3 linked regions of the Oreochromis niloticus genome follow. The protein of the gene in region 3 purifies or fractionates together with the protein of the main gene of each other region. This does not show direct contact. Links are inferred from orthologs where the notes say so. Each region holds a gene or a part of one and is shown on either strand. Other genes may lie near its edges.

Region 1 (8,114 bases), on a different chromosome or scaffold from region 3:
CGTTTGCTGTCACATTTTATTTATAGTGTGAACAAGCAGACAAAAAAAATCGGATTTGATCAAAAAAATCGGAATTGAGCATTAAGACCTGCAGTGTGAACGTAGCCTTAGATGTCCCCACAAGGACATGAACTCTGTGTATGTATGTGTGTGTGCACATACACAATTTCACATTTGTAAGCATAACCCTTTGGGCATTTTCTTAGTATGAAAAGATACTAGTAGTGTTCAAATTCTATATTAGTGCACCACACCTTTCTTTTCATTTGCTTTCTAGCTGTAAGTTACCAGACAAAAGTGCTGTCACGTGTATCATTAAACTTTAAACCGATTCAATTAATGTATCACATCTGTCAAATCATCAAGCAGCTGCTGGCTGCTTTTGTCATGCTCTACACTTCACAGTGAAGCATGATATGGCACTTTAAAAAAAAAAATGACTGAACAGGTCTCACCTCCCCAATGTACTCCATGACAAATGTGTTCCTCTTGATGTGCTGCAGTGTGCGGACTCCCCATCCCCGGCCATTCTCCGTTTTAAAGATACACAGATCGAACTGGATTCCATTCTGCACAACTCTGTTGGGACAGTCAGGCCCACAGCTGCAGCGGGAGTTGCACTCATATATTGGCTGTCCAGGCCGAATCCGGACCTGTCCTCTGTCGTTGTAGGCCATGCGTTGGAGGGAAGCCCCAGGGCAACAGCCATTCACTGGCTCCTCTAAACAGTTTTTGCACTCACAACCCACTGCCATCTCATCTAACACAATGCCCTGACCTACTTTATAGTTGTTGATATAGGTAAAGTTTTTCGGAGGACCCTCTAGGTCCACTTCGTTCATGACAAAAATGCGCCCTGGATGATTGCGAGTATGATTCAGATGGTCTTCCCAGCGCTGCAGACTCTGGCGGAGTTTGGCTTTTTGGAGCAGAAATGAGGAAACTTCTTTATCTAGCTTTTTTGGGATGCAACGTCGCTTGTGGCGCCTCAGCTCCTGATCCAAGTCGAGATGGAACTGCTTCATCAGTTTGGGACATTTTAGGTTCCTCTTGGGTTCCCAAGTGTTATCTGATTCTGGAAAGCCTTTCCATTTTACAAGGTACAACTCCTCTTCCTGAAACACACACAATAATGTCAGTTTTGGGGGGCAAATAGTGGTTCAGCCTAAACTTCATTTATTCTGTTACCATGCCTACCAAGGGCAACAGATGTTCTCAATCTCCACACAGCAAACGCACAATATTTACATCATGTCCAAAAGTCTGGAAGCACCCCTCATATTTCTTTTTCATTTTTCTCCCAACCAGCCAGAGTTTTTTGTAATTTTTTTTAAAGTGCTCTTGAGCAGTAGCTCTCCAGTTTTCTGAAGGTGTTTGTCTTTCTGTGGACACGGCTGACTTTTCATTCATTTTCAGTCCTTATACCCAAATATTCCCTTCAGAGGCACCCTGTTACAGAAAGGCATTTTCCATTTCTTGAGTTGATTCTATGGAAAAATCCCAAAGGTAACACAGTTTGACAGGCATTAGACAATTTAATAGCTATTAGCAACAAGGTCAAAGAGCTATTAGCTGAAAACCTGGCAACTCTCAGCATGATGTGCAGCATCCTTGTTTGAGGAAACTGGACACAAGGAGATTAAACAGGAAGTATCAGCCCTAAAAAAAAAAAAAAAACTATCTATAGTAGATAGTTTTTCATTATGTGAAAGGCATGTGCTTTAAAAATAAATAAATAAAAAGAATAAGGGAGAAGAGGCCGAGGTATACCAAATTACAGACTGACAGTGTGATGACAGGAAATGTGACATTTTTGGTTCAGAGGTGAGGAGAGCTCCAACAGTGAGAGTACTTTAGATTTTAACTCACTATGCAATACCACCTGAGGATGATCCCAAACACACTGCCAACACAGTAACAGCATACCTGGTTAGAAAATTGAACTATAGGTCATGGGTTGACCTTAGAATTATTGGAGCACTGTGAGATCATTCTGACAAATAACAGAACAAAAGGCAGGAACATCGAAAGAAGAGCCTTGAATGTACTTCAAAAAGACTGGAGCACTATTCCTGAAAATACTTAAAGACATTACAGACAGCTGCCTCAGAGAGTTCAGGCTGTGTTAAATAATAAAGGTGGTCATACCAAATGTTGAATTTCAGTCTCATCATTCAATCTCATATGTTAGAACACATTTTAATAAATAACTACACACATTTCCCATTTTCCTCCCAAAATATACGAAAATGAGGGGTGGCTCCAGAGTTTTTGCACAGTACTCTATTTATATAGTGCTTTTCACAATCAGGAATCATAAAATGCTTTACAGAAAAAAAATCCAAGACAAAACAACATTAAAAAGTCAGGTAAGGCACAATGAAACCATGAGCATATCGAGTTGAATGTTTTAGCTGAGATTACATTGATTCTAACTATTTGGAGAAGACTAAATGAGTGCCACCTCAAATCCAATTGTGCCTGTGCAAAACTTCCACCACATATACTGAAAGGTTTTCTTCTAGAAACACCGTAATCTGTTCTGAGTCAGGAATGTAAGATCCAGCTCGTACAGACGCATATGCGTGCATACTTAACAAATATGGATAGGAAGTGAGAAACATAAGTAATATTGTACATATGCAAGATAGTGTATATGAGCACATTAAATACAAACTAAATAATAACATGATTACTTATAAATTATAGATAAATTATTTAAGGAATTTCCACCATAGTACATGGTTTGTTGCAGTCCAAAGTTACACTGTCTCACAGTATCTAGCTTGTACTGTTAGGAACAATGTTTGTTATGCAGCACTTGCTGCATTATAACATCTTCTTTCCTCTAATGTCAGGTTAGACCGTTTGCCTTCAAAGTGGAGCAAAGAGGAAAAAGGACTATTATCCATCCCACAGTACAATGAATACACACTAGCAGAATGTTTCACTATAAAGTAGACGAATGAAAAATATTTTGTATTTTTAGCACTTGTAATAAAACTCATTTCAAACATGTCTGTGTGATGTCTAACAGTGAATGCATGCCCTGTCCAGCTGATTTAATTAAAAATACAGCCAAAATATTTACTAGGAATTTATTTTCTTTGAAAAGAAACCAATGAACCTTCCCTAACTTCACACTAACAAGAGTCTCAGTTGCCAACAATCCACGTCATACCTTAGTCGATATCATACCTTAGTCTTCTTGTAGTCACATAGGAATTCAACCTCGTATTCATTGACGTTGGCTCTGCTAACTCCAAGCTCTTGACACTGGAGTTTCTCCATTCGACACATGGCTTCCAGCTCATCCCAGGACATCTTGCAGGGCACGCTGCAATCTAACACACCACACACCTTTAACTGACAGTGCCCAGCCGGATCACGCTGCTCTTTCTGGACTCATTTTCGTTACTTTTGACTCTTTTTCTGACAGTGGAAAGTAAGGAAAAATTCATTTTTAATCTGACGACAGCACACACAGTTTACTGCTGGGCTTTGTGCATTCGTGCAAATGGACAGCCAAGGCATAGCTGTGTGAGCGTTGGTTTTAGATCAAACGTCATGCCGGTACAGGGGTCCGAAACTAGAACCCTTTTAAAGAGTTGCATCCACGTTCGTCCAAAGACGCACAATGTGCCATTTAAACATTCCCGAAGCGCTACATGGCGCCTCAAGCTCAGCGCTACCGAGCACCGAGCCCGCTAACTCCTCCGCTCACTTCAACACAGCGGCTAAGGTCTGCTACCTGGAATACACAGAAAGCTCCACCAAGAGCTTAATCCAAGTTACTGAGTTCTCAAGTCAACTATTTGGACAAAAAGACCGCTTTTATTAAACTGCAGACGTACTTCGAACTATAGGCTTCACAGAATAACAGCGATGTAAAAGCGCCGCGCTTAAGTTAAAACTGCGTGAATGCGAAGGAAGAGAAATGTGCATATTCGAGCTATTTAAATGATATAGACACAACCAGGTAACCGCACATATTAACTAGATAGTGTAAAATTAAATGAAATAACAGTCCTTATGTATTACCTTTCAAATTTTCCGCCATGTTTTCCACACAGCCGCCAAAATAGGATGAGCTACATTGGTCCGAAAGGCCTTACGACACAGAGATCGTAGCGGAAGCTAATTGGATGAGCGCCCTTCTGTGAGCGTTCTGATTGGCTTAGAGAAGTAGTCCGGCGGGCAGGCCGGAAGACAACAGATACAGCCAGTACAATGGATTCCCATTTGAGTGAGTCTGCCAGCTGATGTCCTTTTTCTCCTCTCCGGTCCAGACATTCTGTACTTAAGTGTTGAAAAATACTCCAGTGAAAGTTGAAGTACCGATTCAACTTATTTATTCAAGTAAAAGCGAAAAAGTACATGCTCTGAAATGTACTTTAAGTAAGAAAGTAAAAGTAGATCCTTGGAAAACGTTTCTACCACCAATTTTTATGCAAAGCTGAACCCTGTGCTATATTAATGTAATAATGTAATCATATCAGTAGATGGGAATATAACTTTATTTCAGTCTAAATTTTATTTCTAATAAATGCACTCAGCTTGAATCAGTTAAGTAGAATATGAGCAGAGAAAAAGAATGAAAATAAATTGAGAAAGAAAAGAATCCTAACTAACAAAAATTTCTATGGAGATGTCCAGTAGATGTTCTTAGTGTAAAGGCTGTGATCAATTGTCCTGCTGCTCTTTGTGGATGTAAACAGCTGAATTCAACCAGATGTCAGCAGATGTTTCATGAGTTGCCCTGGCTGACTTCCTTATTCAACACTGACAGTATTCTGTTTATGCTCTTTTCATACTAGACAATATACAGTTGGTGGAATTCAGTGAATGCGTATCCTCAGTTTAACTTCAAATTCACCTCTGCTAGCTTTTATGTAACCTAACTCAGTATTTTTAATCAGCCTTTACATAACACAGTTAATCTACCCTAGTTTGTTTTGCAGCACATTTTACATTATGAAAATCCATAATAAGACCCAACGTAGAGACCCAATCTGATTTAAAAACACAAGGACTTACATTTACAGTATATCAAACACCACTAAACAGTCCTTGCCTTCAAATCTTACTTCTTCTCTTCCTCTCCTGTCCTGTCTTTCTCATCTTTCTCCATCTCTGAGTCAAGTTAGCTCTCTTTCTTTTCTCTTCCTGTGAAATACAGCAGCAGGACCTTTAGCTAGCCCACAAACAGTGTTCATAATTATGGTCCACAACAACTGAAAATTTGTTCATATAGTGTCAACAAGGACAGCTAAGAAAACTGGTGAATCACACAACTGAGGTGTATTTGTGCACACTTGTTTACACACAGATTTGTGGGTGGATGAAGCCCAATCATCCTGAGCACAGCAGCAAAGAATTGGTCTTGCGCTGGCCCAGTCAAAGTCCAGGCCTTAGCCTGACTGGAGTGCACTGGGGTGTTCAGAGAGCTATGCATAAAAGAGTGCTGCAAACCTCAATTAACTGAAGGAACACTATAAATAAGAGTGAATCAAGGATCCTCCACAATTACGTGAGAGACTGATGACGTTGCACAGAAAACCATTACTTCCAATTATTCCTGCTAAAGATGGTTCTAGAGGTCAAGTTGAAGTTAGGAAAACAGAAGTACCCGAGCTGGTGAACAGCTATACACACCTCCAAGAATGTGCATCTACTTACTGGTACATTACTAGCTCCTGATGTACCAAATTATTTCCACAGAAAAATATTAAATTTGTTGATAGTTTGAATTGAATTTAGACAGGGCTTTATTGTGGTTATCTATATCATACATTTATACGTATATCATCCTACATGTCACATTTAATTATAGACTCAGAGACTCAGTTTATTAAAGATAAAAAACAAAAGCAACAAATCTCTACATATAAACACAGTTCTAAAGAGCACGGGTTTGAAGTGCTTTAAAATGCTTCAATTATGTTGTAACATTATATTTATTTCATTCATTTTCCTCAGGTCACAACAATTAGTACGCATGGGATTAATAAGTACAACAGTGTAATAATATGTAGTAATAATAAGAACAATAGAGAGAACAAAATATATATATTAAAGATTTTTAGAAGCACATAATCTTTGGCGACCTTTAAAAGCCAGCCTGGTTAGTCCAAACCTAAAACACATGAATAAGAAGTTTCTGGACCACATTTAAAATGAGATGAGTATCTCTGCACAGTCTCCTAATTATCCTAAATGAGATAATTATATGTGTAAGTTTTTGTCTTATTGGTCAATCCCACAAACACCCAAGCCAGTACTAGGGATGGTCATCACTTTCCAGTAGTCATGAACTTCAAGTAAATAGTTGATGTGGCTGTTTAGGCTGGTAGGATGTTATGCATTAGTAATGCAGTGTGGTGGTAATGTACCTACGAACTGTTTGCCAGTAACCATTATTCAAGAAATTGGAAAAAGCTGCAAACTACTTGGTATCATGCTTAGACAGTACTGCAGAAACAGAATAAGCATGCAAAGCCAAAAATGACTAAAATGATCAAAATGTTATGTGTAGAACAAAAGGAAGGGCAGTGCAAAGTGTGCGTAAGGTAAAACTAGCACTTCATAACCATTTGAGAGCAGTTTGGGGTGAGGCGCAATGTTTAAAGAATAGTCGGAATATTTGCTGTGAATATCCAATAATATGTTGCAAAATATCATCAAATTAAGGGAATATTTTTTTTATTTTTCACCTGATCTTGAATCCAGCCCTCAAGGGCTTAATGATTTCGGTTTCCACTGACTGATGTTATGTCACTTGTTACATTCTTCAGCAAAGTTTAAATTGGATATTTTGCTCATCAGGATCTGATGTATAATTGAAGTGTTTAGCAGTATATTTTGCTCAAAGTGCCCTTTCCTGGCTAGTTTTAGCATCTTCAGCAGTCAAGCTTAATCTTATGAAGTTTTCTATCCCACTGGTCAAACCACAGTGACATCTTTCGAATCCTGGTCATTTACATCAGCCCTGACAGTAATGTGTGTCAGAGCTACGCCGGGCTCATCCACACACCTGGGCTCCACTGTCTCTGAACTCTTTGAGTGCTGACCGTTCGCCTGAGGAAAGTGGAAACCATCCAGAGGTGCATGCTCTATCCTGCACAGGCTGTCTTCGCTGTCACTGTTGTAACTGGGACTATAGGAGGCGTTGATGAGACATCCACCAGGCCGAGCCTCCTCTGATAGCACGCTGGCTTTGTGATGCATCGCCTGAATTTCTTCCGTTTGGACAGCCTTTTCCATTCTCCATACATCAAGCAGCTCCTCCGTCTCCATTTCACTCGGCTCCACCTTACGGAATGTGTGGCGGGCATACAGGCCAATGCAAAACATCTCCACAATCACACTGTAGTGGTAGATCACTAAGATTGGAAATGAAACGCACAATACAGGACTGATTTTAACAGGCAGTGTAGAGTGCTTTGGGTGAAACAACAGTACTTCCATCTTTGTGAGGCAGTGTGAGTTTTCATTCAAAACTATAGCCGATGTAATAATATAACCAAACTCAAAGAAATCTAACTTTAGTTCTAGCAAAGTGATGAAAGGATTTCCGGTTTATAGTCTTAAATCTTATTATTTGCTCACATCAGATTATTGAGCGCTTATCTAGTATTAATGAGAACTCAAAGCACAGTTGCACTAGAATTCTGTCTCAGCCAAGGACACATCAAGTTAGTGTAAGACTTGTTCTGCATGCTGGTGATCTGTCCAGGGTGTACCCTGCGAAAATAAAATCTAATACTTTTCAAGATAGATTTTTTTGAAAAATGTTGTGACCGATCATTTCAAGAATAACCGCAGAATTATTTTAGGAAAACCAGATTGGGAGGCAAAAGACTGGAGGAGTCCAGATGTGCTGTCACTTACACTGAGACCGGGCCAAGACAGAAAAAGGTGGTGTGCAGGGGATAACCTCCAGAGCCCCCATAGTCTCTAAGATGCCACTCTGCAGGCCACACAGGACCAGCACCAGGATGATACAGATGAACTTGGCTCTCAGTCCATAGCCATGTAACGCACTCTTTGTTGCTTTGTAAAACAATAGGTGGCCATAAAAGGACACGAAAGTTGACACACCTATGATGCTGTTC
Region 2 (8,114 bases), about 3.9 Mb from region 3:
CCCCACTGAAGTGGTGTTCTGTAACTGATAAATCTACATTTTAACATATTATTAATTCAAACAAATTTCCACAAAACTGGAAACAAAATAACAACTGATCAAATTCTTGATCACTTGCAAACATGTTGGTTTTCTGCACATCTTTGTGAAGTATATAGACTTGCATATTGTACATTCAGATTTTCCAAAGTAGAACCGCAATACCAATGTGGGCACATTCGAGACAACAAGCTGGGCGTACTAGCTAAAGCTGGGACTATATTTTCTGCAACTGTAAGTCCGCTCGGGTCCCACTCACGTAAATTTAGTGTGAGGGTCTGTGTGGATGTCTGCACGCCTGGCTGTTTTCTGCAACCTCACTGAATTTACATTGCAATGCACGAACTATGCATGCTCGCCAAACTTTCTGCAAATCTGATGTCTGCTTAAACCCACAAATCATTGTTTACCGAAGCTGTATCACACATAAAAATGTGCACATCACTCTCAGTTTAAAGAAACTCTCACAAACTCTGCTGATGTGCATTGTGTGATGTGAAATGTGAATGCTGCAAGAATTTATAACAAGTGAAGGAGGTGCTATGACACACAATCAGCAGATGCCTAGACTTCTTTTGGTCTGAAAAATCCTGAGTCACGTTCAGAGACATCAGGACAACATAAGACTGAGATTCAGACTAGGGCTGCCACGATTAGTCGACGAGTCACGATAGTCGACGACTAATTTAATAGTCGACACGTCGTTTGAAGCTTTGTAAGATCGCAAAACACGCAGGAATAAGTAGTAGGATTTAAGAGTGTAATAACGGACTGAAACAGAAGATGGCAGCACTGCATGCACAAGGATGCCAGCTGCCGTTAAACCCCGAAGAAGAAGAAACTGTCCCAGAATTCATAGCGCGACCCATCGCGGCCCTGCTCAGTTTCCAACAATGGCGGCAGCTAGTTAGTTTTAATGTTACTCTTATTATTCTTTCTGGGTCACAAAATAAACGTTTAATATATTTTCAGGCGGGAATGTAGCTGTGTAAACTTAAAATATCTGCTCAGTTTATCAAGACATCACATATTTTCAAAAGCGCTCCGACGTTTTCGGAGATGTCTGTTACCCACTAGCTCGATAGCTAGCTGGTGTTGGAAGCCTCACTAGAGCCGGTGAGAACATCGGACTCCCGGCAAATCGTTTTCAAACCCACCGCCATCTTTCGCTACTCAGATTAAACATGATATATAAGTCACTTAGATAACTTAAAAATGTTATTGTTTGGCTTTTTTCAGTATTTTATTTGTTCCTGAGTAAATCGGTTTGGCTGAGATGAAAGTTATAGTTTTTACACAGCTGAATAAACCACGACTGATTATCAGAAGTGTGAGATGCTCGAGAATATACTCCGGTGTCCTGTTATATTTTAGATAGCAAGGAGCAGACGGCTGCGTTTATTAAACTCCTCCGAAACAATCTGCAAATTTCATTTAAATTCAATAAACTATCATCTTGTCTTTATTTTTAGTTAGCACATACCTTAAACACTTAAAGCTGGAAGATAATGATAGTTATATAAGAGCAGATGCATGCTGGTGCAATAAGCTGTATGTTTTACGTTCAATGGATGCATGATCTGATTAGTCAACTAATCGCAAAAATAATCGGTGACTAGTCGACTATCAAAATAGTCGTTTGTGGCAGCCCTAATTCAGACACATGGTAGATCTAGACTTTAACAGCTGTATTGTTTCAGAGATGTCAGTATATTATGTAAGTATTATCCATCACTGACAGAGAACGAAAATAAACAAAATATGTGAAAGTGGAATTTGAGAGCTGTGTGCACACAAAGTGTGCTCTATCGTGTGGACCAATCTCTGTGCACCAACTACTGTTTATTATCTGTTTGTATCGTGTGTGTGTGTGTGTGTGAGAGATGTAATGAGCAACAACAGAGCCTGTCCCACCAACACTCCACCTTAACTTTCATTAAAATATCGACAACAGAAAAACGCAGGATTCAGCTCTCAACATTCGGAGGTGACGAGCTTCACACAGCAGAGGTCGGCAACACTTACCATCAAAAGAAACATTTTTGACCCTCCCTACAAATATCAGCATCGCTACGTGCTTGTTCATTTTGTTTTTCTCGTTTTGCTAGTTTCTCATCCAGATCAAGCATACCGAATCTGCTCATACAGTGTAAGAGTCTCCAATTTCCTCTTAAACTTTTCCTCTTTTGGGTTGGAGTCCATAACAAACAGTGGGAGGGACTCTGAACCCATTTATTTGTCTACATCCATGCCAGCTGCTGCTTTTTAGGTCCAGCAAAATTTAAGGTGGTTGTAGGTTTTGATTTAACTGATTCAATTTTTTGTTTTTTAAAGGCAGAACATTTTTACAACTGGAAAATGTAAAACATTACTCACAAATACAAGGACTAAAAATGAAAAATAACTACTCCATAATAAAGTCATTTTTTTCTCCTCTCTCTTTCTTTTGTCTTAGCTGCAGGGAGCGGGAGCCACACGTTTGCCAGCCTCGGCCCAAAGCCTTGGCAGGGCACTAACAGCTGTGAGCCGCCCCCCTGTGGTTCTGGCATTTCTAATAAATCAATGAGTGAAGAAAATTCACTGAGCACTCTGTCCTCTCTGATCCCGGGCCTCCTTAGGGCAACTATCGCAGCCACAACCAGCGCAAAACCCTTAAGACACCACATTTTTACAACAATGTAGATGATGAAACACCCAAATGCTGCGGTTTTTACACTGAGGACCACTATTCTTTTTGAAGAGACTTCTTCTTATACCCAGCCATGTTGCTGAACGGTCACCAATTAAACTAATTAGGTGTGTTATGTTGCACCAGCATTACATAACCTGTCCCCTGCTTCCTGGATGTGTTACTCACATTAAATTCAAAATGAGCCTTTTTTAAGACAATCCAAAAATCTCAGTTTCATTTTTATGTTATTTTTAAACAAACATGGGCTAACGCGTGTCTGAAAATCAGCACGTTCTGCTTTCTTTCTACTTGACTTGCTGTTACTAGAGCAGAACAGAGTAAACAACACTCAGGCCGAGAGAGCTGTCAGATTATTCTCCACGACAGAAACATACCTTCAGCAGGTTCTGACAGTCTTCCAGGCCGATCTCACTCAAGATGCTCTTCACTGCCTTCCTCGCTTTGCGAATCTTTTCGATACTTCCAACCGGGACCTGATACATGATTCCTCACAAGCCCTTATAAAGGAAAAATAAGTTTTCAACTGGTTACAAAGCATTCGTGCTCTTCTATTAATTATAAAATAATTATCAAAATATGCTTTTATTGCATTTATAGTGCAAACATACATCATGATATTTCCCAGCCTACAAAATTACCATTGTTTTTCCACTTGTAGCATCAATAAATTAGTAAAAATATTTTCTGTAGCCCCCAAAACAAGTGAATAGTATGGTGAAAAGGTGAAAATGGCACACACTGGGCAGAATAACAAAGGTTAGCTGAGGTCAGGTAATGTATGCAGTATTACATCAATAATTTATAACCCTATTATGCCAATAAATAAAACACATAAACCGTAAATGAAGATGGAATAATGTACCGGGTAATAATGATGTAGTTAAATAATTCACTGCAGCATAGTGACAACCTGCCTGCATTTAGTACTGATTGATGAGAATCACAGCATGGCTGAATATGGGTATAATGTCTGCACAGGCTCTGTGGTAACACAAATAAAAGCCATAACAGTGAGTGTGCATCAGCTGATATCACTCTCAGCATTTGTGCAAAAACACCAGCCGTTCGCCGGTGAGCACTAAAAAACAAGTTATTTTTAGTCAGTTAAAAGTGCGAGATTTAGATCACCTGTAAACTAAAAAGCCTGTCCCCCTCGCACATGCCATCCATGCTAACACTACAATGTGTCTGCTGGCCGCACTCAAGTCCTAAAAAAGCCCGGGGAGGCACGTTGACAGCAACAAGCCGGTGACTAAGACCGCGAGGGCGCATCCGCCTACTCGAGGATGCCCACAGCCTCCTCGCACATATTTACCTCGTCCAATTTTCAGCGTAGATTAACGTTAGTTGTCGCTGTGCCACCACCGACAGAGCTAAGGGTTTCCTACTTCCACCGGCCCGCAACTGTGTGTGTCAGTGAGCTGCGTCTACAGGCGGTGCTGCGCGCAGACGCTCCCCCGAGCGGCATTCGCTGTCCGTGCACACCGCTCTGCGAACACCCTGCTTAAATATGAAACGTGATGTTTGCGAACCCACTCCGGAGACAAGTTATTTTTTTTCTTTTTTGGTTCAGCTTTTGTCCCTTTCTTCCCCCCTATTGAGGAAAAAAATGGCGCTCAAGTTCAGGATCTGACGTAGCTGCCTCATTTGCATACAGCACAAACTGACCAATGGGAGAGCTCGCCTGCTAAAACCTGAATAACTTTTTATTCTCTCACTGGGACCCTCAGCCCGGCTCCCGGTTGCCCAGATGACGCACTCTGTGGTTCACTTTCTGAATTTCATGCCACATCTGACCGGGTGAGCCCATATTTCCCATTCCCATCTAATAGCTAGGTAGGGGGGCGTGGCTCCTGCGACCCCCACCCCCCACAGCGGCAAGTCACGTGATACACGACCAAGCCCAACCAATGAGGTGTCGAGAAAATGAGCTAAATGGGTGGTCCTTGGCGTGTGATGTCATATCATGCTACTTTCTGTACCCAATTACTTTGAGCCACCATTTTGATTGAGGGAGAAAGCGAAATGAGTAGGTTAGATGTCTTTAGGCTAGCAAAAGATTAAGTGTTAGGATTTTTTATTGTGTTTTACAGTTACAACATGACAAAATGGCTAGTTACCATCATGTGGTCATTTTTACCAACTGCGAAACCTTGTTACATATATTTTATACGTAGTTGTAGCTAACTGTAAAAGTCGATCAGAGCAATTTCCAGGTTAACAATGTTACCTTCACCTTTTCCCGCCTACAGGTAATTCAAGCACAGCTTGAGCGCTGCGTTAACCACCTATCTGACTGTCGCCTGCGCGCTAACCTTAACAATCAAGGTTAACTTGGCAAAAACTGGATAAAATATATATATTTTATCCAGTTTTTGGATAAGCAAATCAATAATCCCTTCAACAGTCTCTTCTTTGTAATGACCTGATAACCAACACTTGCACTGCCTGATTTATGCTCACACCCAAGTCAGACACTGCAAACAGAATGGACACACGAAGTGCCATATTTACACATATGATGGCTGTACTGCAGTATGTATCTCTAAGGCTAACAGCTAAGTTAGATTAGCATTGTCTCCAACAAAAAGTTAGCGAAGACAAAGATTTATTTATTTTTTTTCTTTGCGATTTCCTTTGCTCATACCAACACAAGGGTGTTCACTTTAGACCAATTAGCAATGGTCCAATCAGACTCGATTTGTGCAGTCAAAGAGTGGATGATGTGGATCGCTCAAGCATGTAATTTCAGATCGATCGAGTGTGTGGTAACCTTGAATTTAAGCTATTTTTCTCTACACTGCTGTGTTTATGTTCCCCCTCCAGACTATTCAGGTGCAATTATTTACTTTTTATTACAATCAGAACCACTATCATCAAGCACAATGTCCAATTCATCAATACACACTCCAAACACAATGGAAAGCACTCTGCGTGATCCTTCTGCTGATCTATTCATCTTTTAATCCAATTAAAATGCAAGCAACACTTCTCTAATGAACACTTGAGGCACATGAGACACTTGATAGGAGCTGTAATGATCCCCGTTAGACAAATACATCCCTCAGATTAACTCGATTCTGACGTGCAACGCCAAGGAAATAATTCAGCAGCTTTAATTCACCCTGAAGTGTATTTATTCTGAGGAAATAACTTTGCATACAAACACATCAATCTTTCCTTCGCGCCCCAGTGCTGCTTATGGTCTGCACTTAAAACATCTTTCTTATTATCTGTAATTATCAAAATTACACCTTGTTTTGTATATTGTCATTCATGGATCTTACTGGAAGCTTCAGAGAACACTCACAGGTCTGAGCTGGGTGTCTCATTCACTGACAGGGCATGCAAGGTAATTTACACACAGTGAGGGCAGGGCTTTATCCATTTTATCCAGTGTACTCTCAGCGCAGCTGTGGCCGCACTGGCATCCTGATCTGAAGGATCAGCTCTTAATTTGATCTAAGTGCTGAAAATGAACCACACTGCTTGAACACATACGCAAATATTGCAATGTATGGTGGAAACACAACACTGTACAGGTTGAACTCAACTGTATTCAACTGTAATTGAAGTGTTTAGGATGAAATCCCGCAAGCGGGTCAGTTTTCATTATAACAGGACCCACAGCAGCAGCTGATTAAAAGCTCCTTTCTGTCTAAAGATGCAATGCAGTGTGATAAACTGCTGGAGTGCTTCTAGTGGACAGCCAGCAAATGGTTATTACCATTCCCCTCAAATATATTTGCACTGTCAGTTTAGTGCTGAAAAGATAGCACTTCTATAGCACTTCTGCAATGGGAAAGCTAGGATCCATAGCTAACTTCGGTAGACCTAAATTACTCTACCAGCATACTATTAGGATATGCAGACCACTAAAAATATGAATAAAACTGTTAATACTAGTAGGACAAAGTCTAACTAAGCATGGTCCATGAGTATTAACAGCCAAAATGTTAGCTTTTTCCCTTTTTGAGTGCCTTTTAACTGATGCAGAGGTCCAATGACATCATCCCATTTTAACTTGGTAAATACTGCAAAACTAATAGTTAAACTATTTTAACCTAAATCTTAATTAACAAACTGAAATAACACCAGGGCAAAAACTAACCAAAAAAGTAATAAAGTATTTGATCAACACAAGCAAGAGAAGGCTTGGATTGAGACGTATGAATATTCGCAACTTCCCACATCTTGCATTGGACAAATAGTCCACATATTTTTTTTAGCTTAAAAAAAACAAAAACAAAACTTTACTCTTTAAACACCAATAACTAAAAAAAATAAATAAATGTAAGAACAATAATGCTGGTTGGTGCAGCACATTCTTGGCTGTTTAAAACATCAACCTATTTCAGTTTTTAGTTCAAGTCTACTTTTGTTAACTAGCATTAGTTTTTAGTTAACTTTATTCACCACAAGATTCATGTTAGGTGTTTTTAGTTTTTACAGAGTTAAAATGAGGTGATGTCACTAGATCTGTGAATCAGTTAAAGACCATGTTAGTCTATAACTAGGCTGTTATAGTAGTATTAAGTTTTCTTCAGATTTAAAGAGTCTATATATCCAAGTAAAGTCATTGTCTTCAAAATAATCCTAGCTGTGGGATGCAGCAAATTGCTAAAGCTCGAAATTATGCTGGCCTACAGGAACAATGTTATTCTGAACACAATTATTTCCAGCCCCTCCACCCACCAATGCCAAAAACCACACAAACACCAGATGAAAGGATTTCAGTCAGAAATGTATATTAAATTAATCACTTATTACTTTAACGAGCACAATGTACAGTCAAAAAACAGGCTATGGTCCATTAGTGCCTTAGACAAGCAAATTAATACATTAGTCACTCGTGACACACAGGGGCGAGAGTCGATAAAAACCGATGCTTCAGGTCATCTTTAACATGAGTGAACATGTAGCTGTAGAGGAGACTGTGCAGGAAGTCCCTCGACTTCAGAGGCATGAAAGATCTGTCGTGTTATTTAGCATTTGCACTGCCCCAGAGAGGTCTGTGTACAACTAGCATCTCTCACTTTAAAGATACAGACATGTACATCCATATCTGACAAATACAAATCATATGTGTTTGAGCATGTTTCAAAAGAAAAAACAAAACAACCCCCCCCCCCCCCCCCCCCCCCGCCCCCAAAAAAACCCTTCCTTTGTTGGTTTTCAGAGCCAGCAAAGGAGCTAGTGAACAAGGTCCAATCCCCTCGACAAGTGTCACAGTATTTTTCTTTAACCCACATAAGATTTTGTGCATTTTTAAACCAGATTAACCTCTGAGAGAAAGGAGTGCACTGAATACAGTGTCCCTATATCCAAGCTACAGCTCAGCACAGAGGGAATCTCCTACAGTAATTCCATCATGCCTTTCGAG
Region 3 (8,114 bases):
CCGTCATGCAGTCTTGCATTTAGAGTGAAACCATGGGACAACCAAAGCACTGCAGCATGAAGACAAAACTGTAAAAAACTTCACCCAAGAAACATTAGGAACATAAGGAAATCCTAATTGTTAACTTTGTTTCATATGCAACTCTCTGCGCATTACTGCCAGTAAAGTCTGTATTTGTAGTCGAACCCATAAAAACTAAAAGAAAAAAAAAAAAATCTGGCATAAAACCTTTATTAGAACGACAAACAATATTTAAAGACAGTATACAAAAAGTATTTATGGAACAAAACATCACTACAGTAGAAAACATGAGCAAGAAGGTGGCAGAGTGAGAGAAGCATTTTGGTATTTAAAACATTTAAACAAAGATGAAGGTGGAAGTGGCTTTAATCAACCGTCCTTTTTCAGCTGTGCACTCGCTTCCATGAATCTGGCTGCATCTCAGTGTGTTGACTTCATGTCTAAATGAGCACCTAAACTAAACCAAGTATTAGTAACGACATGCACTGGATTACAACTGTACTTGTATCTTGTGAATCTCTGAGTTGCAAAGCTCACTAGTTAATGCCCTAAACTGCAATATTATGCATGACATTTAGTCTTAACTTTAGCTATTCACTTTAAATACAGTTTCATTTCTCTATGAAGCATTTTTACAATTCACACTCCAGAAGGAAGTGCACAGCTCTGAGCGACACACAGTGAGATCCTGTGCTGTTAATGAAAAGGGGTGAGAAAACAAATCAAAACTGTAGTTACACCTCACCCACAAACAAGTCTTCTGAATGTATGGTTGAATTGTGCATACTACAGAGCTCTCCTTCACTATCTTGAATACATTTAAATGAAGCCATTAGGAACATAAGCGTTATCCATGTCGGAATAACAGATTGCTGAGCAGACTGCTGAACCCAACATTGTTGTACATCTCGTGTCTGAAAAGGGGCTAAAGAGATCAATCATTCACAACAATACAGGAAGGCTTCCTTCTTTCCTTCGTAATCAAAAACACCCTCACCTGTTCTCACAATCGGCTAAGCTTATATTTACAACAGAACTCTCCACGACTGCCATGCAAATGTTGAAACTTCTTCCAAAACAAAAAACAACAACAAAAAGACTAATTTAGCTAGACCTAGAAGGCAAGTCAGGAGAAATCCAGTCCTGAGGAAAAGGTTGACGATGTTGATGTAGGCAACTGCATGGGTTGCAGAGAAGAACTACTGGGCTTCATCCTCTGGACAGGAATGCCAGGTCAGTCTCTCCTCATAAAAGGATATGACCACCTGAGGACAGCGGGTGTTGGCCTCACGGGCTGGGACCAAATCTGCCTCATCCGAGTCTTTCCTAAAAGAAGGCAGATTGAGAGAGAGGAACATTATAGAAAGCCAGCATAAGTTAATGTACTTGAAATCAACTAAGTTTATAAGTTGAGAAAAGTTTACAGCAGGAACAGACTAGACAGTGGCAGTTTCATAACTGTGGCTCTGTACACCATGTAGCAAAATCTAAGCAGTGAAAAGCAACTGAAGTGTAGACACTGAGATTCAAGTTCAAGGGTTTAAGAAAAAAAATTTAGTGAAACAAAGGAAGTTCCCGATTTTTAAGACCTCAAATGCAAACAACAACTTAAATATAAATAAATTTAAAAAAAAAAAACAAAAAAAAACAAAACACAACCCTCTTGCAGGAAACAACTGAAGCCTTGGACATCAGTTGCTGACTGGTGTGTATCCAACAGGGAGAAAGACTTTTTTTCTCCCCTTCCACAAATAAAATGCATGGTTATCCAAGTAATTCCACTCAGTTACACTTCCTTCACTTTAAACTTTCTTTGATTGGTATTACAGTATTTCAGGATAATTATTTGTACTGTGAAGGATCCATTAATCATAGCACTCAATACTTTTGAATTCGCTGGCCGTCTATCTTCGTAGCATAAAACACCAGTGACTCACTGTATACCATGCACATCCGTCCTATGAATTACACTGCCTTCACAGTAACTAGATTAACAAAACATTACTGCGCTAAGGTCTTGAACTAACACTCATTTCATTATATTTTGCTTCCAAGGACACAGATTTCCAACCATCCAAAGAAAGGGCTTTACAACATCTAGAAAATATTTTTAAAAATGTACCATTTCATCAAGAACATCAACTCCCCACTACTGTCTGTTGCGCCAATGATTCGCTCAGGTTCGAGGTTCCTAGCAAAGCCACGTGGTTTCTCAGCCTGTAGGTGGTTACAACAGAGAATGTAGCCATATAAGATAGGAAAGACAAAACAACACATTTTGATTCATTTAAAATCCTTGCATATTCTAGCATAAGTTCAGAAGCAGCTGCATTTCAAGAGTATAATGCACAGTTAAATGTCTATGTACAAATCCAGCTGAGCACAAATATGATTATATGTATTATGTATGTATATACCTATGTATGTATTATGTATATAATACATTCATTTATAATAATGCTCTTTTTTGTTTAAGTTATGCAAACTTTTCTCTGAATGGCCCCCGTGTTAAGCTTTGCTGTCCTAAATTGAAATTGTCTTTAGGACATGCTAATTGCAGAAACGTGTGAAAGCAAAGAAATTCACCACATCTTTCTTCTTAGGTTCTGTCTCTGGCTCTTCCGTGGAGGCCTTCCTCTTAACAGGCGCAGGTTTCTCCTTAACGTTCTTCTGAGCCTCCAAAAATGCTGAAATCAGCTCAGGGCAATCCAGGTTCTCCTCTGGTTCCCAAGTATTATCAGCACTAAATGAGCAGAAAGAGAGTCAACATTTGCATTGCACCAATTCACACTGATTTCCATTTTAAAAAAAAAAATGCAAATACTAGCATCAGCTAGCTTGCTTGAATAAAGGTACCGTCGTCATGCAACCACAATGACTTCAAACAAAAGTATAGCACAACCCCATACCAGGGAAGCACTTCCAGCTCAGCAGGAGGGGGGCAGGAGTCCCAGCCAACTCACTCTGTAAATCCTTTCCACTTGAGGTAGAATTCTACTTTCCCATTCACAACACGCTGGTCCAGCACTTTTTCCACAACGAATTCTTCAGGTTCCTCCTGTGTTTCCTGTGTATCCTTCTTACTCTTGGTATTCTGCTTCTTTCCCATTTTGTGATCTAAAAACACAAACAAAAAACGGAATTCGATAAGAGTTTGATATTAACAAATCCTTCACATTCATGTGCTCCTGATATCCACATTTAGGATTGGCCATAGGCCCTAAAGCCGCTGTTCTGGCAAATCCATCCTACCTGGCAAACCACACCGCCACAGACACCTGGATCGTAAACGAATTTAAGTGTGAGGACTGTTATTTGCCCATTAGGGTAATAAAATTAGGCAACCTTGACAAAGGGACGACCACCAACGGGAAGTAAAACACAGCATTAGCTAGCTTAGCGATAAACTCTTAAAGTATTCAAAGATACCCAAATTCTTATAACGTTAGCTCGCATGCTAACTTTAGCTGGCCTTTAACCGTTAGGGAAACCCTACTTCACTTTTATCGTGTCACCTGCAATGCGGAGGGACTTAAAATAGGTGAGCTGGCACAAAAAAAGCGTGCGGGTAATGTTAACGTAACTTGCGCTAACAACAACGTACTCAACTTCAACGCGACACTCGACGTTTTACAAACGGATAAATAATGTTAAGTTCTAGGATACAACTACAGCATAACGAGGAACAGACACTGTTACTTTCGCTTGCCTGTTGACGTTAAAGTACTGCAACTGTAGTCAACAGATCGTTTCTCTCTCATTCGAAACAGCGTCCAAATGGTAAAACAACTGGTTAGCATATACTGCTATTTCGCTACAGTGAACCAATTAACTCTGACACCTCTGTTAATGATAACCCTTTTTGAAACAAGTCGGTATCTGCATACATACCCTAAAACAAGAGAATCGCTTCAACGGCACTTCTTTTCCACGCGGTCAGTTGATTCTTTATGTCTACAAGAGTGTGGCTGAACAGCACGGGCGCCAAAAGCTACTGACGCGCATACTTACGCGCATACTTGTGCGCATACTTGTGCACCATCTACGGAAGCCCGGTTGGAAAACGCTTTTCGCTCCCCAAAACCTGTAGATAATGAAGCCTAGAACTTTACATCAGGGATATCGAAGTCATTTTGGATCGTGGGCCACATGCAGCCAGTTTTGTTTACAAGTGGGCCGGACCAGTGTAAAGAGGTTTAATTACACGTTTAATATCCGCAAAATCTTAATATAAGAAAAAGAAGTGCAATTTCAACAGTATATCTCAGTTATTTTTGCATGATAAAGAAATGAAGCTGTATTAAATAGGAGAACTCAGTCAGCACGACTCTTTGGGCTTAGATTGTAGGAAATGCATGTGTAGTTAAGGTTGCTCGTTGCCCAGACTGTCCTGTAACTATAAAATAGAAAGGTTTTGTGTATTGATAATACTGTATCCTTATTTATTTATTTACTGTGAACCCACTGCAGAAATCAGAAACGTTTCTGTCATTTAAGTATTTTTGAAATCTAATATTACCTATGACTTACTCAAATTGGTGTGAATGTTGATGGGAGTAGGATTTTTATCATTAGGAAAAGCTGTAAAACACATGGAAATACAGTTAAAAAGTCCAAAATGTGTACCATCCTTTACATTTTAAAAAGCTGTCCAGTGGCTCAGATTGCATCCTTTGCCAGGCCAATTTTGCCCCTTGGCCTTATGTTTGACATCCCTGATCTAAATTCTATTGATGTTTTAAGACTGCATTTTCTTTCCATAATATGTTCCTATATGTTGATTTTAAAATCAAGGCCATTCAAAAGTATTTCAAAAGATTTATTTTTTATTTTAAAAAGTCTGCAGGAGCAACTCAAGTTCTGTAAGCAAATGCACACTTTGAAAAATCACAATGGAATCAAACACATTTAACTTCAGAAACAAAGCAAATATTTACGAAAATGAAATTCATACAAACAGCAAAGAAAAGGTTCAAACCAAACAAAAAAATACAAACAAAGGAAAAAAAAACTGAAAGCCACATAAACTACTTCATGGACTTTTCTCAATTTCACTCACTCAGCTGACTCTACTGCGCAGCATAACCAGGAACAGGATGGCAATCCCTATTAATACTTCAACTGTCAAATAATCTTATACATATAAAAAGGAGGCATCCAAACAACATTCAAACTTCTTAAATATGAATCAGTAATTTATTATTTAGGGTTTTTTAGCAGTTTGTTTAATTTGGGTGACTTTGATAATGAAGGATTTTTATTAAACAAGTGCACTTTAGGGAATTTCAGATTTTAGCCAGAAAAAAAAAACTAAACTGGGGCCTGAGAATCTAAAAATATCTCACAAGTACTTGTAAAGAAAGGAAGTTCAGTCAACTTGTTCTTCAGATTAATCATTGTTCAAATACTTTATGCATCTTTCTTCAGTTTACTCACTCAGGTGACTACTTGAAAGTGTGTACACATAAATAAGATGCGGACTTTTAATTCCACTTGATTCTACTCTCAGATAATAAATATTAAAAAAAACACAAACACACACATTCAAACAGCATTCAGACCTCTTAAATAAAGTTGGTGATTGTATTTTTCCTGTTTCAGAAATTGAATCTTTTATGTGTGATTATGGTCACATTTATAATGGAATCGTAGTTATCGAGTGCACTTCAAACGACAAAAAAAATAAAGAAAAAAAGCGGGGTGGGAGCTTTTTTTTTTTTAATGTAGCCAAAATTAACAAAGACTAAGCTGTGAGGTAGAATAATCTTGCCAAAAACTCTAAAACACTTCAAATGAAAGGGGTTAAATTATAGTTGAATTCTTATGTAAGAACTTTTTTGTTATGGATATATGCACTTATGTATGATGTACACACATATTTACCAAAACACATCAAATGCAAATTAAGGCCAAGTCCTTTGAGTCATTGGTATACTGCACGTCATCAAGACATGTAAGCAAAAGATATCTATTTCATTTTTTTTAATTTCAGTTTAATTTTTTTACTCAAACAGTGCATGCCCTCAAATACTGGGAACAAATCAGTAAACTTTGGACTTGTAATAACCCAATATTCTTATCACTCTGACCAAAGGTTACCATTTTGGGAGAGGGAAAAAAAAACATCCTTAACAGTTCTATAAGCATTTCAGGGACCTAAGAAAGTTTAATAAATACAATCCTTTAACCTCATTCTTATACCAAGTAGGAAAACACTAAAGGCAAGATTACAGGTAAATCCTCCTCTTAGATCTCTATCCTGTCTGTAAATATCACAATCCTGGCCAAGTTGACTTTTAGACATGTGTGATTGCCAACAATTTTCTGTAAAAATGAGAAAGACTATGACTTTAATGTTAACAGGCACAAAGAGACTGCTGGCATTACCAACAGCTTAGCTGTTCCCTTAAACTACCCCATCGGCCACATCCACCTATAACAAGAAGAGAATGTCCAGTGTGTGATCTACATTTTTCCCATCAAATAATGTATTTACATTTTTTTTTTTCATTTACTTATTTTTTGAGTGTCTTTTCTTTTTGAATTTAGGTTCTCAACAGTGGTGAATCAACACACACTTTTGCAAAAGAGGAGACCCTAAAACCAGAGTCAGGCAATTAGGTTCCGCAATATCCCAAAACCGAAAAGGTCAAGTCTCAGCAGGAAATGCTGCATTATTGCTTTTTTTCCTTCTTTCTCTTGTCTGTTTTGTTGCCAGATGTGGAGACAGCAGGTCGTCTTACAGGCTGAACTACAACCCTCCCGTTAGCCCCGCACTGCAGGGTGAATCTGTCTGGGTTCAGGGGTGTTCCTGATTCATCCCTCAGCCGGGACAGGATGTCTCTGGTCAGCTGCCTTATCTGATGGCCCACAGCACCCATTGTTTTTGCTGTAAGGTGCTTCTCCCTCAGCAGTTTGTCTCTTTGAACTTGCAGCCTTTCCACCTCCTCCTGGAGCCCAGTGATGGCATCTAATTTGCGCTTGCGGCAGTTTTGGGCTGCCAGCTTATTCTTACCACGCCTGCGGATGTCCCTCAGGAGGGTCACCTGTTCAGGGGAAAAGCCATGACCATCAAGAACTTCCAGGAACTCTTCAACAGGCATGTTAACTATCTGCAGGACAGAGAATGGCAGACACATAGCACGGGCGCGCAGCTCATCACGACTCAGCTCCCCTTCTTCCAGCCGAAATCCATCGTCATCGCTGAGAGGCTCCTCCTTGATGTTTTTGCGAGGCAGCGTTACTGACGGCTGGTTAAAGAAATTGGCAGATGAGTAGCTGTGGTCGTGCCACACACTCTCAACAGGTGGCCATGTTGTGGTGTAGTCAACAATGCCTTTAGAGGGGATTGAGTCTGCCTCACTGCTGTAGCCTGTAGCTCCACACTCATCCTCGCAGTATGAACTGGATGAGGATGACATCTCAGATGAGCCTGGACAAAGTGAGGAGTTAATGACTGTGTCAGTATATTTAACAGAAAATTTCTTAGCTTCACAAAACATAGAAATTAAGACATGCAACTTTTCCAAGTATAGAATGCAATCTGAACCAACCTGGAGAGACTGGACCTCCAGAGCTGCTCTCCAAGGAGAGACCAGAGTCTGACTCCAAGTCCTCAAGGACCTGTGGGTCTATGCTGTCCAGACAGTCCATCAGGCTGCTGTCAATTGAGTCCAGACCTTCCAAACCAAGCTGATTGATCTGGTCAAACACTGCCTCATCTAGGCAGCCACCCAGTGCACTATTTGATGACACATTTCCAGTTATGTTACATACTGAGGCAAAGGGGAGTGCAGCAAGACCTAGAGCCATCCCAGGTGAAGCATCTGAGTTTAAAGAGCCTGTGGATTCCATTCGAAAGAAAGCCCTTTGTTGTTGGGTCGTGGTCCTGGGCTCAGTTCTATCAGATGCCAACCCAAACACTCCAGGACTGGTTAGCATAGCATCATGCAGACTGACATTCCGGCTGATGGCGCTGGTGATGTCAGTGTCGAGATCTGACAGACGCTCAGTGACAAGGGGGTCCAAGTCCTATATTTTAGAGAGACCTGTTAGTCGAACTTTATTCTCAAAAGCTTTGAAAATCCTCTTAA

What was found.
Region 1: the proteins of cbx3a (region 3) and histone-lysine N-methyltransferase SUV39H1 purify together in Homo sapiens (affinity purification with mass spectrometry; 3 studies listed by BioGRID and IntAct, with this or other methods). This does not show direct contact. The link is inferred for Oreochromis niloticus from reciprocal best matches to the Homo sapiens genes CBX3 and SUV39H1.
Region 2: the proteins of cbx3a (region 3) and adnp2b purify together in Homo sapiens (affinity purification with mass spectrometry; 3 studies listed by BioGRID and IntAct, with this or other methods). This does not show direct contact. The link is inferred for Oreochromis niloticus from reciprocal best matches to the Homo sapiens genes CBX3 and ADNP2.

Annotation. Positions count from the first base shown.
Region 1 is NC_031984.2:36,834,809-36,842,922, forward strand, and holds the start of histone-lysine N-methyltransferase SUV39H1, read right to left. Parts: upstream 4,147-8,114; 5' UTR 4,061-4,146; coding exon 4,042-4,060; intron 3,345-4,041; coding exon 3,199-3,344; intron 1,116-3,198; coding exon 456-1,115; intron 1-455. Other genes in the region: si:dkey-16n15.6 (organic solute transporter subunit alpha), read right to left, coding at 6,943-7,382, 7,891-8,114. UniProt on the Homo sapiens protein: Histone methyltransferase that specifically trimethylates 'Lys-9' of histone H3 using monomethylated H3 'Lys-9' as substrate. Also weakly methylates histone H1 (in vitro).
Region 2 is NC_031985.2:21,370,156-21,378,269, forward strand, and holds the start of adnp2b (activity-dependent neuroprotector homeobox protein 2b), read right to left. Parts: upstream 4,339-8,114; 5' UTR 4,047-4,338; intron 3,229-4,046; 5' UTR 3,214-3,228; coding exon 3,106-3,213; intron 2,905-3,105; exon of another isoform or gene 2,495-2,904; intron 2,189-2,494; exon of another isoform or gene 2,148-2,188; intron 2,050-2,147; exon of another isoform or gene 1,640-2,049; intron 1-1,639. UniProt on the Homo sapiens protein: May be involved in transcriptional regulation. May play a role in neuronal function; perhaps involved in protection of brain tissues from oxidative stress. May be involved in erythroid differentiation.
Region 3 is NC_031985.2:25,230,521-25,238,634, reverse strand, and holds cbx3a (chromobox protein homolog 3a), read right to left. Parts: upstream 4,070-8,114; 5' UTR 3,913-4,069; intron 3,298-3,912; exon of another isoform or gene 3,274-3,297; intron 3,139-3,273; 5' UTR 3,131-3,138; coding exon 2,985-3,130; intron 2,765-2,984; coding exon 2,608-2,764; intron 2,239-2,607; coding exon 2,144-2,238; intron 1,348-2,143; coding exon 1,221-1,347; 3' UTR 216-1,220; downstream 1-215. Other genes in the region: nfe2l3 (nuclear factor erythroid 2-related factor 3), read right to left, coding at 6,696-7,453, 7,575-8,052.